Linked DNA regions of Arabidopsis thaliana. The protein of the gene in region 1 interacts with the protein of each later gene in a biochemical or structural test. Each region holds a gene or a part of one and is shown on either strand. Other genes may lie near its edges.

Evidence for each region. Proteins that work in one complex are often made in the same cells at the same time.
Region 2: the proteins of AT1G75640 (region 1) and AT4G22730 form a complex in vitro, tested with the Arabidopsis thaliana proteins (one large-scale study listed by BioGRID).
Region 3: the proteins of AT1G75640 (region 1) and AT5G51560 form a complex in vitro, tested with the Arabidopsis thaliana proteins (one large-scale study listed by BioGRID).

The regions. Positions count from the first base shown.
Region 1 is NC_003070.9:28,402,849-28,408,709, reverse strand, and holds AT1G75640 (Leucine-rich receptor-like protein kinase family protein), read left to right. Parts: upstream 1-1,527; 5' UTR 1,528-1,687; coding exon 1,688-5,110; 3' UTR 5,111-5,339; downstream 5,340-5,861. Other genes in the region: XRN3 (5'-3' exoribonuclease 3), read right to left, coding at 1-22, 218-421.
Region 2 is NC_003075.7:11,939,443-11,944,410, forward strand, and holds AT4G22730 (Leucine-rich repeat protein kinase family protein), read left to right. Parts: upstream 1-1,558; 5' UTR 1,559-1,941; coding exon 1,942-2,371; intron 2,372-2,459; coding exon 2,460-2,720; exon of another isoform or gene 2,721-2,807; coding exon 2,808-3,701; coding exon of another isoform or gene 3,702-3,706; intron 3,707-3,772; coding exon 3,773-4,254; 3' UTR 4,255-4,443; downstream 4,444-4,968. Other genes in the region: AT4G22740 (glycine-rich protein), read right to left, coding at 4,608-4,735, 4,822-4,905.
Region 3 is NC_003076.8:20,943,759-20,949,464, reverse strand, and holds AT5G51560 (Leucine-rich repeat protein kinase family protein), read right to left. Parts: upstream 3,790-5,706; 5' UTR 3,659-3,789; coding exon 3,220-3,658; intron 2,645-3,219; coding exon 2,384-2,644; intron 2,277-2,383; coding exon 1,416-2,276; intron 1,334-1,415; coding exon 852-1,333; 3' UTR 526-851; downstream 1-525.

The DNA of each region.
Region 1 (5,861 bases):
CCTCAAAGGTAGTTGGAGATGGCTGCAACAACAAACATAGTCGTCAAGTAAAGAAAGAGCTAACAGAAACATTCTACACGTGCATACTCACACAAAGATCAAATTTTTACAACAAAGAACCAATTTTTAAATAAGGATGAACCAAATTTGAAAACCCTAATGTCTCAAATAAAACATTCAACAGTGAATGAATCCAAAAATCGAAAGGAAACGCTACCCTATCTTCGGGGTGAAAGCAAGGATGGATAATCCCGTTCATGTCGAGATAAAGATTATCGTATTCGAGGTTGTTAGGGTTAGGTTTACTAGTATCCACAGGAATCTTGATGCCTTCGATTTCAACAGGCTCTTCCTCGATAACATCCGCCACTAAAAGAGGATACTTCTCGGCCAACCATCGGTAAAACGACGGTACACCCATTCTTCACCGATGTCGAAGATATATATCTCCGGCGACACAAAGGAACAAGAAAGTAAAAAACCAACGGTGTTTGCCGACGGCGGTTAAGGTCACGAAGTGCACATTTATTGGGTTTTTTCCTAATGGATGAGAAAGCAAAAATCGGATTAATGAAACAGTAATCGGGCTTAAGACAAACCAAAATATGGGCTTTGTCGGAAGCCCATTTATCAAAAAATAAAATAAAAAGAAACTCCGTTGCCGGGACTCGAACCCGGGTCTCTCGGGTGAGAGCCGAGTATCCTGACCAGCTAGACTACAACGGATTTGTGTTCGATTTCTTAGCTCAAATTATATGACACTTAACAAGATTTGAATCAAAGAAAAGAGAACACGAAGGACTTGTTGTACTTGATTAAACTAGTCTCTTTCGGCTTTATGTCTAGTTCTTGTGGTCCATCTATTCCGGCAGAAATTATGATTCTTGGATTAAAATATCCTTTTGTTTAATCTTTCTTTGTGAGATTAGTGGTATAATAAGTCTTTGTTATACATTTTTCTTATAATCTATTTGTCTACATTATCCATATGTCTCATAGTGACTAATAGTACTGTAAATAAAACAATTTTGTTATAAAATTATAAATTCCCCTTTTGCTTTGCATGAACTATGGGTGAACCAGGAACCTTAACTAATAACCAGGAACCTTAACATAGAATGAAAAACATTTTGATTAGTGGATTTCGATTTTTAGAAAGAGTAAGCTTTGAATATTGAAAATCATAATAATTCATAATCTAACCATATATGAGATGCTATGAATATCCTTTTAGTGAGAAATATGTACGATTTGGTAGTTTCTGATTTACCAGCCATGAGAGATGCAGAGTTGGTCGTAACATTTGTCACAAGATTGGTAGCTACGAACATAATGCAGATACTGTCATACACGCACATGTATACTTACATACACAAAACCATATTGCATGTAAGATATTTTCTCATAGTGTTTTGATGATATTTACGTTGCTTGGTGAGACATGATCAATGAATTTAATCTACATCTTGTAGATATAAGCACTAGGTAACCATTTTTTAATAATCAAATACATCTTTATATAATTTACTTTTGGGGAACAACAAAAATTCACACCATCCCAAGAGTTCCATATAGTGGAATCCAAAACGATGTCGTTACACTCTCCCTCCTTTACGCTCCTCTCTTATATTATAGACGAAACACTAATTCTTCTCTGCAAATAAAAATCTTTCCTTTCTCCACTCTAATGGCCGCAACGGTCATTTTCTTCCTTCACTTCGCCGCAATCTTCTTCTCCAGATTCCACCACACCTCCGCCATCTCATCAGAGACTCAAGCACTCACATCTTTCAAACTCTCTCTCCACGACCCTCTAGGAGCTCTCGAGTCCTGGAATCAATCATCTCCATCAGCTCCATGCGACTGGCACGGCGTTTCTTGCTTCTCCGGCCGTGTCCGTGAGCTTCGTCTTCCTCGTCTCCACCTCACCGGCCACCTCAGTCCTCGACTCGGTGAGTTGACTCAGCTCCGTAAACTAAGTCTTCACACCAACGACATAAACGGCGCCGTTCCTTCGTCTCTCTCTCGTTGTGTCTTCCTTAGAGCTCTTTATCTTCACTACAACTCCTTCTCCGGCGATTTTCCACCGGAGATACTGAATCTACGAAACCTCCAGGTCCTCAACGCTGCTCACAACTCACTCACCGGAAATCTATCCGACGTCACAGTCTCGAAGAGCCTTCGTTACGTCGATTTGTCTTCCAATGCAATATCCGGTAAGATTCCGGCGAATTTCTCAGCGGATTCATCTCTCCAGCTCATCAACCTCTCGTTCAACCACTTCTCCGGTGAGATCCCGGCTACATTGGGACAACTACAAGACCTCGAGTATCTCTGGCTAGACTCAAACCAATTACAAGGCACAATACCATCCGCATTAGCCAACTGTTCATCGCTTATACACTTCAGCGTAACCGGTAATCACCTCACCGGTTTAATTCCGGTTACTTTAGGCACGATTCGAAGCCTGCAGGTGATTTCATTATCGGAGAATTCATTTACCGGTACAGTTCCGGTTAGTCTTCTATGTGGTTATTCAGGTTACAATTCCTCCATGCGAATCATTCAATTAGGAGTTAATAACTTCACGGGAATAGCTAAGCCGTCAAATGCAGCTTGCGTGAACCCTAATTTGGAGATTCTCGACATTCACGAGAATCGCATTAATGGCGATTTTCCCGCGTGGTTGACTGATTTGACCTCTTTAGTGGTTTTGGATATTTCTGGAAACGGTTTCTCCGGTGGTGTTACGGCTAAAGTTGGGAACTTGATGGCGCTTCAGGAGCTGAGAGTAGCTAACAATTCACTTGTTGGAGAAATTCCGACGAGTATCCGTAATTGCAAATCGTTAAGAGTCGTTGATTTCGAAGGAAACAAGTTCTCGGGTCAGATTCCGGGTTTTCTAAGTCAGTTACGGAGCCTGACAACGATATCTCTTGGAAGAAACGGGTTCTCGGGTCGGATTCCATCGGATCTTCTCAGCTTGTACGGACTCGAGACATTGAATCTCAATGAAAATCATCTCACCGGAGCAATACCGTCGGAGATAACAAAGCTAGCTAATCTTACCATCCTTAATCTCAGTTTCAACAGATTCTCCGGCGAAGTTCCGTCCAATGTGGGTGATCTGAAAAGCTTGAGTGTTCTCAACATAAGTGGATGCGGGTTAACGGGTCGGATACCGGTTAGCATTAGCGGATTAATGAAGCTTCAGGTTTTGGATATAAGTAAACAGAGAATCTCTGGTCAGTTACCAGTCGAACTATTTGGTTTACCGGATCTTCAAGTGGTTGCTCTTGGAAACAACTTGCTCGGCGGCGTCGTACCGGAAGGTTTCAGCAGCTTGGTTAGTCTTAAGTACTTAAATCTCAGTTCCAACTTATTCTCCGGACATATCCCAAAGAACTATGGATTTCTCAAGTCATTACAAGTGCTTTCGTTGTCTCACAATCGAATATCCGGTACAATCCCGCCGGAGATTGGGAATTGTTCCAGTCTTGAGGTTCTTGAGCTTGGTTCTAATAGTTTAAAGGGTCACATTCCGGTTTACGTTTCCAAGTTGTCTCTTTTGAAGAAGCTTGATTTGAGTCACAACAGTTTAACAGGGAGTATTCCGGATCAGATTTCTAAGGATTCTTCTCTAGAATCTCTCCTGCTTAATTCGAATTCTCTATCGGGTCGAATACCGGAATCTTTATCAAGATTGACGAATCTAACCGCGTTGGATCTTTCGTCGAACAGATTGAATTCCACTATACCATCAAGTCTCTCTCGGCTTCGTTTCTTGAACTATTTCAACTTATCAAGAAACAGTTTGGAAGGGGAGATTCCAGAAGCTCTAGCTGCGCGTTTCACTAACCCGACCGTCTTTGTCAAGAACCCGGGACTCTGCGGTAAACCGCTTGGTATAGAATGTCCAAACGTTCGAAGGAGAAGAAGAAGAAAGCTAATTCTACTAGTGACACTAGCAGTGGCTGGAGCTTTGTTGCTGTTACTCTGTTGTTGTGGTTATGTGTTCAGTTTATGGAAATGGCGGAACAAACTAAGATTGGGCTTGAGTCGGGACAAGAAAGGGACCCCCTCACGTACATCTAGAGCGAGTTCTGGTGGGACAAGAGGAGAAGACAACAATGGTGGACCTAAACTTGTGATGTTCAACAACAAGATCACGTTAGCTGAAACCTTAGAAGCCACAAGACAATTTGACGAAGAGAACGTATTGAGCAGAGGAAGGTATGGGTTGGTCTTCAAGGCGACGTTTAGAGATGGGATGGTTCTATCGGTTCGTAGACTAATGGATGGTGCTTCGATAACCGATGCAACGTTCCGTAACCAAGCTGAGGCTTTAGGTAGAGTGAAGCACAAGAACATCACGGTCTTGAGAGGTTATTACTGCGGACCACCTGATCTAAGACTTCTTGTTTACGACTACATGCCCAACGGAAACCTCGCTACGCTTTTGCAAGAAGCCTCTCACCAAGACGGACATGTCTTGAACTGGCCAATGCGTCATCTCATTGCTCTTGGAATCGCTAGAGGACTGTCCTTCTTGCATTCTTTATCAATCATTCACGGCGATCTTAAACCGCAAAACGTACTCTTCGACGCTGACTTTGAAGCGCATTTGTCAGAATTCGGGTTAGATAGATTGACAGCGTTGACTCCAGCTGAAGAACCATCCACTTCATCCACTCCCGTCGGGTCTTTAGGCTACATTGCACCGGAAGCGGGTTTAACGGGTGAAACAAGTAAAGAGAGCGACGTGTACAGCTTCGGGATCGTGTTGTTAGAGATCTTAACGGGGAAAAAGGCAGTGATGTTTACAGAGGATGAAGATATAGTGAAATGGGTGAAGAGACAGTTACAAAAAGGTCAGATCGTTGAGTTGCTTGAACCGGGTTTGTTGGAGCTTGACCCGGAAAGTTCGGAGTGGGAAGAGTTCTTGTTAGGGATCAAAGTTGGGTTGTTGTGTACTGGAGGAGACGTCGTTGATCGTCCGTCTATGGCTGATGTTGTTTTCATGCTCGAAGGGTGTAGAGTCGGTCCGGCGATTTCCTTGTCCGCCGATCCTACTTCACCTACTTCTCCCGCCGCAACCGCCGTTTCTTGAAATTGCTGTTTTCTTATTACAATCATTTTATTTCTTTTTCCTTTATTTTTTTTCCTTTGTGGATAATTTATGTTGACTTTCATTGTGTTGTATCTTGTCACGGGTACGACAATCAAATTTTAAGTTGCCAAATTTATTGAATTTCCCACGGTGGAATGAACAATCACTTCAATGTGTTGTTGTTAACTTGTTATCTTGGGTTTTAGAACAATTTTTTCCGGGATTCTCGTTCAACAAAAAATCATATTATAACGAATATATATTTGTCGGGTCCAGCATATTATTATTAGTCATGTAGACTAAAATAGTGTGTTGACGTTGAGGTTTAGACCCTATGGCGCCGTTATGGTAAGCATTGCGTAAACTATCTACCGAGCTTTAGTAGACAATGTTCCGTGATTTGGTCAGTGGGGTTAATACTTAATAGTACATGTGTGGGGTTTTCAACATTGTCGTTGTTCTGTTTTAGTTCCCGCCAAATACGTTAGGACAAGTGGGTGTGTGACACGTGTTGGTCTTCATAGGGAGATGAAAGTAGCCGTTGATATTATTTATTGGATTTTTGTGTTTGGGGAAAAGTGAAGTTAAGCCGTCAGAGGACGAAAAGCTTTTTTAAGCAGAGCCTGTTGTTGTCTGAAACCCCAGTCCACGTTGGATTTCTTACTGTTTAGCCAGTGTACTTTGTTTCTTTGGCCTTTTTTATTAATTATTACTTCTCTTTCATTTATTTAACTTTTAATGTTTGGTTGGT
Region 2 (4,968 bases), on another chromosome or scaffold:
ATAAAACATTCATACATGTAACTATGTAAGTAAGCATGCATACTAAATATAAAATTTTCAAAAGTTTTAAAAGACATCATATAGATTCAAAAAGACGTGGGAAAAAGGAGAAAATGACAAAAGTTATTAGTAAAACAATCAAGTAAAAGGTCAAAGTAGTTAACGAAAAGATAAAAGTATTTCAAAAGTCTTCCTTCCATCTTGAAATGCCAAAAAATAAAAGACGAATGATTGAAGATAAATCAAAGTTGTCTGATTGCTATTGTATACATCTTTTTTTTTGTTAAAACTATTGTATACATCTAAAAAACCTTGAAGTAATCAAGATCTGAATTATAGCCGTTGATAAGGTTTTATGCTTTCACATTGAACTCGATCGTCGTCGTCAAATCTACTAGTCTCGTTTTTTAGTTTTAACGTGCTTAATTACTTCACTAATTTGTTTTTTGTTATCATTTTCACCAATTTTATTCATTGTGTGAATTAAGTTTTGTCCACATAGTAAGATTCATCAGTATAATAGGACATATGATAAAAGTTTGTATATAATCAAAGAGTATATCTAAGAATATCTAATTAAGATGAATGTTTCAGTCCACATTGGATTCTGCTTATAGTCAAACTGTCTTGTTCTTAAACCCAATTAGGTTAGAATACATGTACCAACAAATAGCATTTCTATAACTAATCTTTTATCAATTTACTTTATAGCCTACAAATAATTAGAGGAAAAGAAAAGAGAGTTAGTGGAATAATTGTCCTCTAAATCTCGATATCATCATTAACTAAATACTATATTTAGACCATATATACTATATTTTATAGTATACTATATTTTATAGTATATATAATCAACTAATCATATTAGACCACTATTAGAAATATGGATCTAAAAAAAACATTCTTTAATCAGTACTATTCTCATCCAAAGACTTGTTTTAAGAGACTAAATATGAATATGTGTATGTGTATGTGTATGCAGGAGTAGACACGTGCACGTGGCACATGCAGGGAATGGGAAGGTGGAGTGTTGACAAAGAAGAAGAGGATGATCCAAGTTTCGAAATGATTCCAAAAGTTATGAACTATAAGCCAAAGTGCTCAATCGCCAAACATGAACTTAAATAAACTTCACTCGTTAGATCGTTTTCTCACATTAAAGCCGCTCTACACTTTTACCCATTTTACCATTTATAATAACCACCACACATAGATATTAAGTTCTATGGATTTTATTCGTAAACTTAAGTTATGATCAAATAGCTAAATGATTTTGCGATTTGCCCGAGTTCTGTTTGTTTCTAAAATGGTTATCCAAAAAGCATATTTTTGTTTTATATAGAATTTGTGATATAGAAGAAATATACTAAAAATGTTTTAAAGTCTGTCTAAATCATAAACCAATGCAAAGAAAGTGAAATAAACCAAGATCTCGAGCAATAGACATAATAAATAAACAAACACCTAATAACATCACATCCCCACTAACAAATGTGAACATTAACTGTTAAAAATCACCAAAAAAGTCATCAAGATTTGGCTTTCCTTTTCAAAAGCAGTATACGTCTCTGTCTCACACAGACAGTGTATTCAATGCGTTGTGTTGTCTTCCCACTTTTCACCAGCTGAGGTTCTGCTTCTTTCTCTTCTTCTCTCCAAAACAAGAAAATTCTGCAGAATAACTTTTCATTCACGAGAGTGGAAGGTTACAGTTTTCCAAATCCGAGAAACAGACACAAAATTGGTCCCTCTCTAAAAGTTACTATCTTCGTTTAACAAAGAGATAGCTCCCAATCCAGTACAAAACAGAGTACTCTGCTCTATAAATTTCGTTCCTTTATTACTCTGCTCTATAAAACAGATTATTCTGCTCTATAAGAGAGATAGATAAATGAGCTAAAGCTCAGTAATTTCTAAACAGAGAGACAAGAAAATTCAAGAATGGTTACCTTATGTGCCACGTTACTGATCCTTCTCTCAATCTTTCTTGCAACTCCGTCGAATGTTCGAGGAAATGCAGAGCTGAAGGCTTTAATGGAGCTGAAATCGTCGCTTGACCCTGAAAACAAGCTTCTCCGTTCATGGACGTTTAACGGCGATCCATGCGACGGATCTTTCGAAGGAATTGCATGTAACCAGCATCTAAAAGTCGCAAACATATCATTACAAGGGAAACGTTTGGTCGGAAAATTGTCTCCGGCGGTTGCAGAGCTCAAATGTTTGTCAGGTCTTTACTTACATTACAATAGTCTCTCTGGAGAGATACCTCAAGAGATCACAAATCTTACTGAATTATCAGATCTTTATCTCAATGTTAATAACTTCTCTGGTGAGATTCCGGCAGATATCGGCTCCATGGCTGGCTTGCAAGGTTAGCATCTTATAATGTTTCACAGATCTTTCACTTGAATGTTTACTCGATCTTCCATTTGAATGTTTTGTGGTGTCTTTTGTTGCAGTTATGGATCTTTGTTGCAACAGTTTAACAGGGAAGATACCAAAGAACATTGGATCCTTGAAGAAACTTAATGTGTTGTCTCTGCAACACAACAAACTAACCGGAGAGGTTCCTTGGACTTTAGGAAACTTGAGTATGTTAAGCAGGCTTGATTTAAGCTTCAACAATCTGTTAGGTTTAATCCCAAAAACCCTAGCCAACATTCCTCAGTTGGACACTCTTGACTTGCGCAACAATACTCTCTCTGGCTTTGTTCCTCCTGGTGAGTTAATGATTCTTGAAACGTCTTTGTAAGAGCTTATCTCTCTGTTTCTTGACTCGGTTTTTTCTTCGTTATGTTTCTTCAAAGGTCTTAAGAAGTTGAATGGGAGCTTCCAGTTTGAGAACAACACCGGGTTATGTGGTATCGATTTTCCTTCTTTGAGAGCTTGTTCTGCTTTCGATAATGCGAATAATATCGAACAATTTAAGCAGCCTCCTGGTGAAATAGACACTGATAAATCAGCTCTTCACAACATTCCCGAGTCTGTATATCTCCAAAAGCATTGCAACCAAACACATTGCAAGAAATCCTCATCGAAACTCCCACAAGTTGCTTTGATTTCAAGCGTGATTACCGTCACTATAACATTGATTGGTGCTGGTATATTGACCTTCTTTCGCTACAGAAGAAGGAAGCAAAAGATCAGTAACACACCTGAGTTTTCCGAGGGAAGACTAAGCACAGATCAACAAAAAGAGTTCCGTGCATCGCCTTTAGTGAGTCTTGCCTACACTAAAGAATGGGATCCGCTAGGTGATAGCAGAAACGGAGCTGAGTTTTCACAAGAGCCTCATCTCTTTGTTGTAAATAGTAGCTTCAGGTTTAACTTAGAAGACATTGAATCAGCAACCCAATGCTTCTCAGAAGCTAATCTATTGAGCAGAAACAGCTTCACCTCAGTGTTCAAAGGAGTCCTCAGAGATGGTTCTCCGGTAGCTATCAGAAGCATCAACATAAGCAGTTGCAAGAACGAAGAAGTCGAATTCATGAACGGTTTAAAGCTTTTATCTTCGTTGTCACACGAAAACTTAGTGAAGCTACGTGGATTCTGCTGTTCTAGAGGCAGAGGAGAGTGTTTCCTCATCTATGATTTTGCTTCAAAAGGAAAGCTTTCAAATTTTCTTGACTTACAAGAACGCGAAACTAATCTGGTCCTTGCTTGGTCTGCAAGAATCTCCATCATCAAAGGGATTGCAAAAGGTTAAGTATTTGAAATATCACTTCTTTGAGTTCAAGGAACAAAATGTATTTAATACACAAATTTCTTGCAGGTATTGCTTACTTACATGGAAGTGATCAACAGAAGAAGCCTACAATAGTTCATCGAAACATCTCTGTCGAAAAAATCCTACTTGATGAACAATTTAACCCGTTAATCGCTGATTCGGGTCTTCACAACCTTCTAGCAGACGATATGGTCTTCTCAGCACTCAAAACAAGTGCAGCAATGGGATATTTAGCTCCGGAATACGTCACAACCGGAAAATTCACCGAGAAAACCGATATTTTCGCCTTTGGAGTCATCATTCTCCAGATACTCTCTGGTAAGCTCATGCTTACAAGTTCACTGAGAAATGCAGCTGAAAATGGAGAACATAACGGGTTCATCGATGAAGATCTTCGTGAAGAGTTTGATAAACCAGAGGCGACTGCAATGGCGAGGATTGGGATAAGCTGTACACAGGAGATACCAAACAATAGGCCTAATATAGAGACATTGCTTGAGAATATAAACTGTATGAAGAGTGAATGACTCTGCTTTTTAATTAGTATCTTTGTGCAAGTATGATTCTCCGGTTAGCTGTGTCCCACCAATTGGTTTTGTTTGTTTTAGTTCTCTCCAGTAAGAACCGGGTCCGGTTTATATTTTATTTAGATTTGTAGCTGAGAATTGAAGCTTTAATCAGTTAGCTATATGATTATAAGCAACGAAGAACTGATTAATGTAACAAAAGATACATATATAATAATCATCAAGGAGCAGTGTTTAAAACCCTCAAATCATGTCATCATACAGTTACAGTAATGATGATGCAACCTAAGTAAAGTAATTAGTCTTTGGTTACATTCACTAAAGATTTTCGAAACCATACATATAGGCGGAGATTAGTTTGTACCATGTCCTCTTACATTCATTGCAGCTTTCGGTCTTCGGGATGATTCTGCTCGTGCATGAGAAGGACTTGGATCAGTCGAGGGAAGTAACATTGGTTGCTCTCTGTTCACAAGACCACCTGCAAGAACATCAAAGAGATGATTTATCTTTGTTCACAAAGAAACGTACAACACGAAAACTTGACCGTGTAATAGGACTGCTTACTTCCAAATGAACCAGAGCGACTGGGTAACTGCATTTGCCTTCTAGCATTTCCACTCCAAGACTGTTCAAAACCAGCCAATTCATCTGCAGAATTTTGCAATTGAAAGCAAACGGTATATAAGGATATTTCATCCACAATAGAACATT
Region 3 (5,706 bases), on another chromosome or scaffold:
GAAGTCTCGCTTATAAATCTCCACGACTCGTTCGTTTCTATGGAAACAAATGGTGTTATGTGATCGAAGCCTTTTGCTACCGTTAGATCAAGCGGTTTGAGGAGAAATGGACGGTTAGGATTAGTTACTGATTAATTAGCTATATCAACAATATCTTCCTTCCTTAGATATTTGGTATAATCCTTTTTTGACCAATGAAAAGTATAATTTGATATTTTTTTCTGTCTTTTGTGGACAACTAATAATTTAATTTATTTCTTTCAAATAACTCAAGTAATTCTAAAAATTTACTAGGTCCAAAATCTAATCCTGAAGTCTAGAAAAATCATGTAAATTATTCGAATCTGGTGGCCAATGCTAATAGTTAACCTTTGACTTTATATTTATAAATTTGTATCTAGATCTAGATGACTAATAAAGACTTAAAAGTTAAAGCTCATATCCAAATCTAAATCAAAACCATCTAACAAATCAATTCTTTTGATATTGATTTGATCAATATCAGAAAAAAAAATGTTATACGTTATTTTTTTTCTATATTGAATTATTGACAATAAATTGGTTCAGAAAGTTATAAAAAAAAAAGAAGACAAAGTACCATAAATATTTTCCATCTACCGAAATTTTTTAAAAGTAATGTACTTGTCTTGTCTTCTTCTAAGGTTGAAGAGCTTAACATAAACACAAATCATACAAACCAATAAAGTACAACACGTTGAACAGTTTTTAAACGTTAATGGGAAGGGAAAAGGCACCTTTTTCTTAACCCTAAACACAGGAAAAGGTGACTAACAAACCCTTCCTTAATTGATTCCTAAGGTACACATTACACATTTGCCTCGAGAGAGTTCTCAGAGACAGCTACTACAGTTACCTAGCTCATGAACTACAGCTTCCACGGATGGTCTTTCAATGGGAGATTCATGAGTGCATAGCCACGCGATTCTAGCTAGCTTTGTGGCTTCATATTCAAAGAATCTTCCTTGAAGATTTGGATCTATGTAATCATTGAACCTACAAGCTTCAGTTCCAAGCTTAACAAGATGCCTAACCTTCTGTTTCCCGGAGATTATCTGAAACACAAGAATCCCGAAAGCGTAGACATCGGTTTTCTCGGTGAAACGTCCGGTTGTGGTGTATTCTGGAGCGAGGTAGCCCATTGCTGCACTGTCTTTGAGTGCAGAGAAGACAATGTCGTTTGTGAGAAGTGTGTGGAGGCCTGAGTTTGAGAGTAGAGGACTGTATCGCTGGTCGATTAGAACTTTCTCCGCTGAGATGTTTTGGTGAACCAATGCTGGCTTGCTTCCTTTGTATGAATGTAGATAAGCAATCCCTAAACACAAAACATCAAACACATAAACAAAAATGAATCAAGAACGCTAACAAAATTGGTTCGGCATAAATAAAACTCATACCTTTTGCGATGCCTTTAGCAATGGATACTCTCGTGGACCAATCAAGAACATGCGCATCACCATCTTTGAGATCAAGATAGCTCAGTAAATTTCCATTAGGAGCAAAATCATAGATGAGAAAACATTCTCCACGGCCTCTTGAACAGCAGAAGCCTCTAAGTTTTGACAAGTTTTCATGTTTCAGAGACGCCAACATGTTGAGTCCTTTCAAGAACTCAGGTTCTTCAGATTTGCAACTTGTTTTACTAAACCGTTTGATCGCTACAGCAGAACCATCTCTCAAGATTCCTTTGTAAGTCGCAGAGAAGTTGCTTCTTCCAAGCAAATTCACTTCTGAGAAATACTGTGTAGCAGTTTCAACCTCTTCAAGATTGAATCGAAAGCTCTGGATAACTTCTTGAGCAAAGACACTGAGATTCCTATTGTCTGAAAGTGGATCCCAACCATTAGTATATTCAAGACTGGCCAATGGAGAACCATTGTTCTTCCTAAAACCTCCTCCTACGGTGTTGAGACGGTTGTCCGACATTTCATAAGTGGTTGAAAGCTTCTGTTTGCGTCTGCGATAATGCGTGAACAAGAGGATGCTAATAGCAGACAATGCAATAGTCGAGACAACCAAACCAATAAGGATTGCACCTTGGTGAGATTTTGGAGGAGTATTACAGTTTGTTCCATTACAAGGTGACCGTAGATTAGCTGATTCTGGTATATCCCGGGATGGAAAACCAAACACGGTTGCACCGTATGGCTTAGGTTCCTCAGGAGCTGTGCCATTGCAAGATTTCAACGGCGAGAACTCAGCTCCACATAGTCCCAAGTTGTTTTCAAACGAAAAACCTTCATTTAATCTCTTCAGTACTGTCAAATCGGTACAACAGAGAAAGAAATATAAACCAAAATGAGAAACACTTCACAAAATACGCAAAGTTAGTTTCAAAGATCATATAGTGAATCAGTTTTCTAACCAGGAGGTACATTGCCAGTGAGGGAGTTGTTGCGGATGTCGAGAACTCGAAGCAGAGGAGGGCTAGCTAACTTGCCTGGTACAGAACCAAACAAATGATTGTAGCTCAAATCTAGCCGCTCTAGAGCACTTAAATCTCCTAAACTCGCAGGTATAGCTCCAGTGAGTTTGTTAGATTGAAGAGCAAGAACACTCAGCTTCCTCAGTGAACTAAGCTCCCTAGGAATGCTTCCAGTCAAATTGTTGTAACAGAGCTGCAAAACTACACAACAACATAGACCAAAAAAGGAATGAAGCTTAGCTTTGACTTACATTAACTTAGAACTAATTCTAGATTTAGAAACCTGGTCCTGCTAATTAAAGCTCAAATATAAAGCCTTTTGAAAGTAAGTGAATCAATTATCTAAATAAACAAAATTAATCAAGAGAAGTACAAGTTATCTTCAATTCAAGTCCATATTTTGGGACCAGTAAGCCATTTATGGTTCCAATTAAAAGTTTGAATCTTAAAAAGTTCTTGACTATTCTTCCTTACAGGAAAATTACAAAAAGAAAAATCCTAACAAAAAGACATGAAAAGGACGTTTTAAAGACAGATCATTAAAGCATTAAATTCCAAAATCATCTAATTCAAATAATTTCAACTACCAGAGATAGTAATGAAGTAACTAAAACCCCTAAGACAAGGAGCTCAGATTTCTAGGTTTCAAATCTCCACAGAACATTGATTAATCTTGGGACAAGAATTTTGCAGAAACCAAAGATCTAACAATGCTAAATTTAGGTTTTAAGTTTAATCAATGATTAAGATTAAAATTAAAGTAAAAAAGAACTAACCTTGCAAGCCTTGCATCTTCCCAATGTTTGAAGGAATCTCACCGGAGAGATTATTAACATTGAGATAAAGATCCGTAAGTTCCGACAAGTTACCAAGTTCTCTAGGAATATCTCCAACAAGAGCATTGTAGTGCAAGAACAAACCCGTCAAATGTTTAAGCTTTCCAATGTTCGGAGAGATTTTACCAGATAAGCCTTTCCCTTGTAGAGATATGTTAGAAACTCGTCCTTTCCAGTCACAACCAACACCTTCAAAGTCTTTACACAGATCTCCATTAACACTCCATGAAGCTAAGTGTTTGTCTTCTGGGTCAAGCTCTGTTTTAACCTCCATCAATGTCGCTAACTCGTCGGTGATTTCTGCCATGACTTGGTTGCTGAAGTGAAGGAAGAGAAGTGGAAGAAGAAGAAGATGAAGCAGCATTTGTGTCGCCGTCATTTTATTTCTAGGGTTTGGTTTTGAGCTTGAAGATAGCAGCTTCAGAAAGCTAAAGGAGATGTGAAGAAAGAATTAAAGGTTCAGTTTTTCAAGAAGAGGAGAGAGAAGATAAAGACACAGAGATGTCGCATGCTTTTGTTCCATTCAGACAAAAGAAAAAAAAAAGTGTTTGTGTTTTGGAGATACCAGAGATGGTTTAAATCTGATCGTTCGATGTTTTTGTGTTTGATATGAATCGTTGGATCTCTTGGGATGTTTTTAGTTATGGTGAGTTGGTTTTTATGTTATCTTATCTCGTTGATGTTGGTCCACTCTGACTAGAGCAATGCATGTTCTCTTTTTTTTTCTCCTTAGTTTATATATATTTCAAATTCTATTTCTTACAACATTTGTAATAGAATTTTCAAAATTTATTATGAAGAATTTGTTGTACTTGTACATACGAATTTTCTACAGTAAGTCTATAAATTGTATTATGATCCAACTTTTGATATCTTTTGTAATCGTAAATAATTTAGCTAAAAATGGTAAACAAGAAAAATGAAGGTCAAAACAAAAAGATCCCACATAGATTTTGGGAAAGTGGAAAAGCTCTTCTAAATAAGGCAATCATTCAATTATGCTGCGATGAAGCTAGGAGGAATATGACCTAATGACCATTATATTTTGGACACACTAAAATGTTCTAATTTGCCCCAATAGCCGTTGTTTTAATTGGTTAGGCTACTTATTTTTGAATACTAATAATCACAGCTAGATTTTATATTTAACCAAATATAGTCATATAATCCTAAATGTAGTTAAAGACAATCCTAAATTATATTTTAACCAACACACAATCGCAAATATAGTCGTGTAATCCTTAATGCAGATATAAAAAATCAATTTAACTTAAGATGCTAATAACATATTTATAAAAAAAATATAACAAGTCTGAATCTTATATACACAAAAAGAGATGTGTCGATGGAGTTGGGAGACAATTTGTAAATTGAAAGCACAAGCAATGCAATGCAATCTATTAATCTAATAAGTGACTGGGCGACGAATTCGGAATGGAAATCATGTTCTCTAAATTGGGCTTTAAACAATATTGCGTGAAGCAAGAATAATAAATTTGGGCTTTAGAAAATTGCTAAAAGGCCCATTATCAAATACCCAAAAAAAAACTAGTTTCTGTGTCGGAATTGTATTGAGCTACCGTCTACCGATCATGGCATACCGCATACTTATCTTAAATTATTAAAATTGCCTGTCATTATTCAGTCATGACTAAAATATATAAAAGAGAGCAGAGATTCATCGTAGTAAAAAAAAATAACGACCCAAAAATTATTTTACATGCTTTATGTGACTTTCTCATTCCTTAATGATTACACATAAATCCCTGAATTCATTTTATCTCTTATGCTATCATGAAGTCATGAACTATAGAGACGGTTAACGAATTTGCATTCTACCATATTACTGAAGTGATGCAACATGCACGCACTTTAAATATAAATTTGCATGCAGAGAAACTATAAAAGGAAAATTGGCTTGAATTACTTAACATGAATGAAACTAAAAATATTAACGAGGTTCGATTATTTTGATTTTCACACTAAATTTCAAACTATATATTAAATTGAAGTCATTGAAGGTTATATATATGTGAAGTTGTTTTGAATCTTAACGCTTAAATAGTCATTTCGGATTGTGATCCCACTAAAAACACTCATTCAGGATTATGAGATTATCTAATAGTACTACAATTCTTCGTGAGCAAAAGAGAAGATCCTAAAAATAATGTTTGCGTTTTCACTTTTCACTCGTTTTCACCGAAGCTGTAATAATCACTCGACACTCATGTGGGTCACGACTCGGTCACCTTAAATTATTGATCCCAACATTTACGACATAAGTTCAGAATAAATAGCAACGACATAAAAATTCATTCTCGACTCTTGGGTTTGGGTAAAACAATATCAATAGAAAATACAAACTTCATCATCGCATCCACGATTCTAACTTAGATAACAAGAATCGCATCCCAATTAACTGTGGTG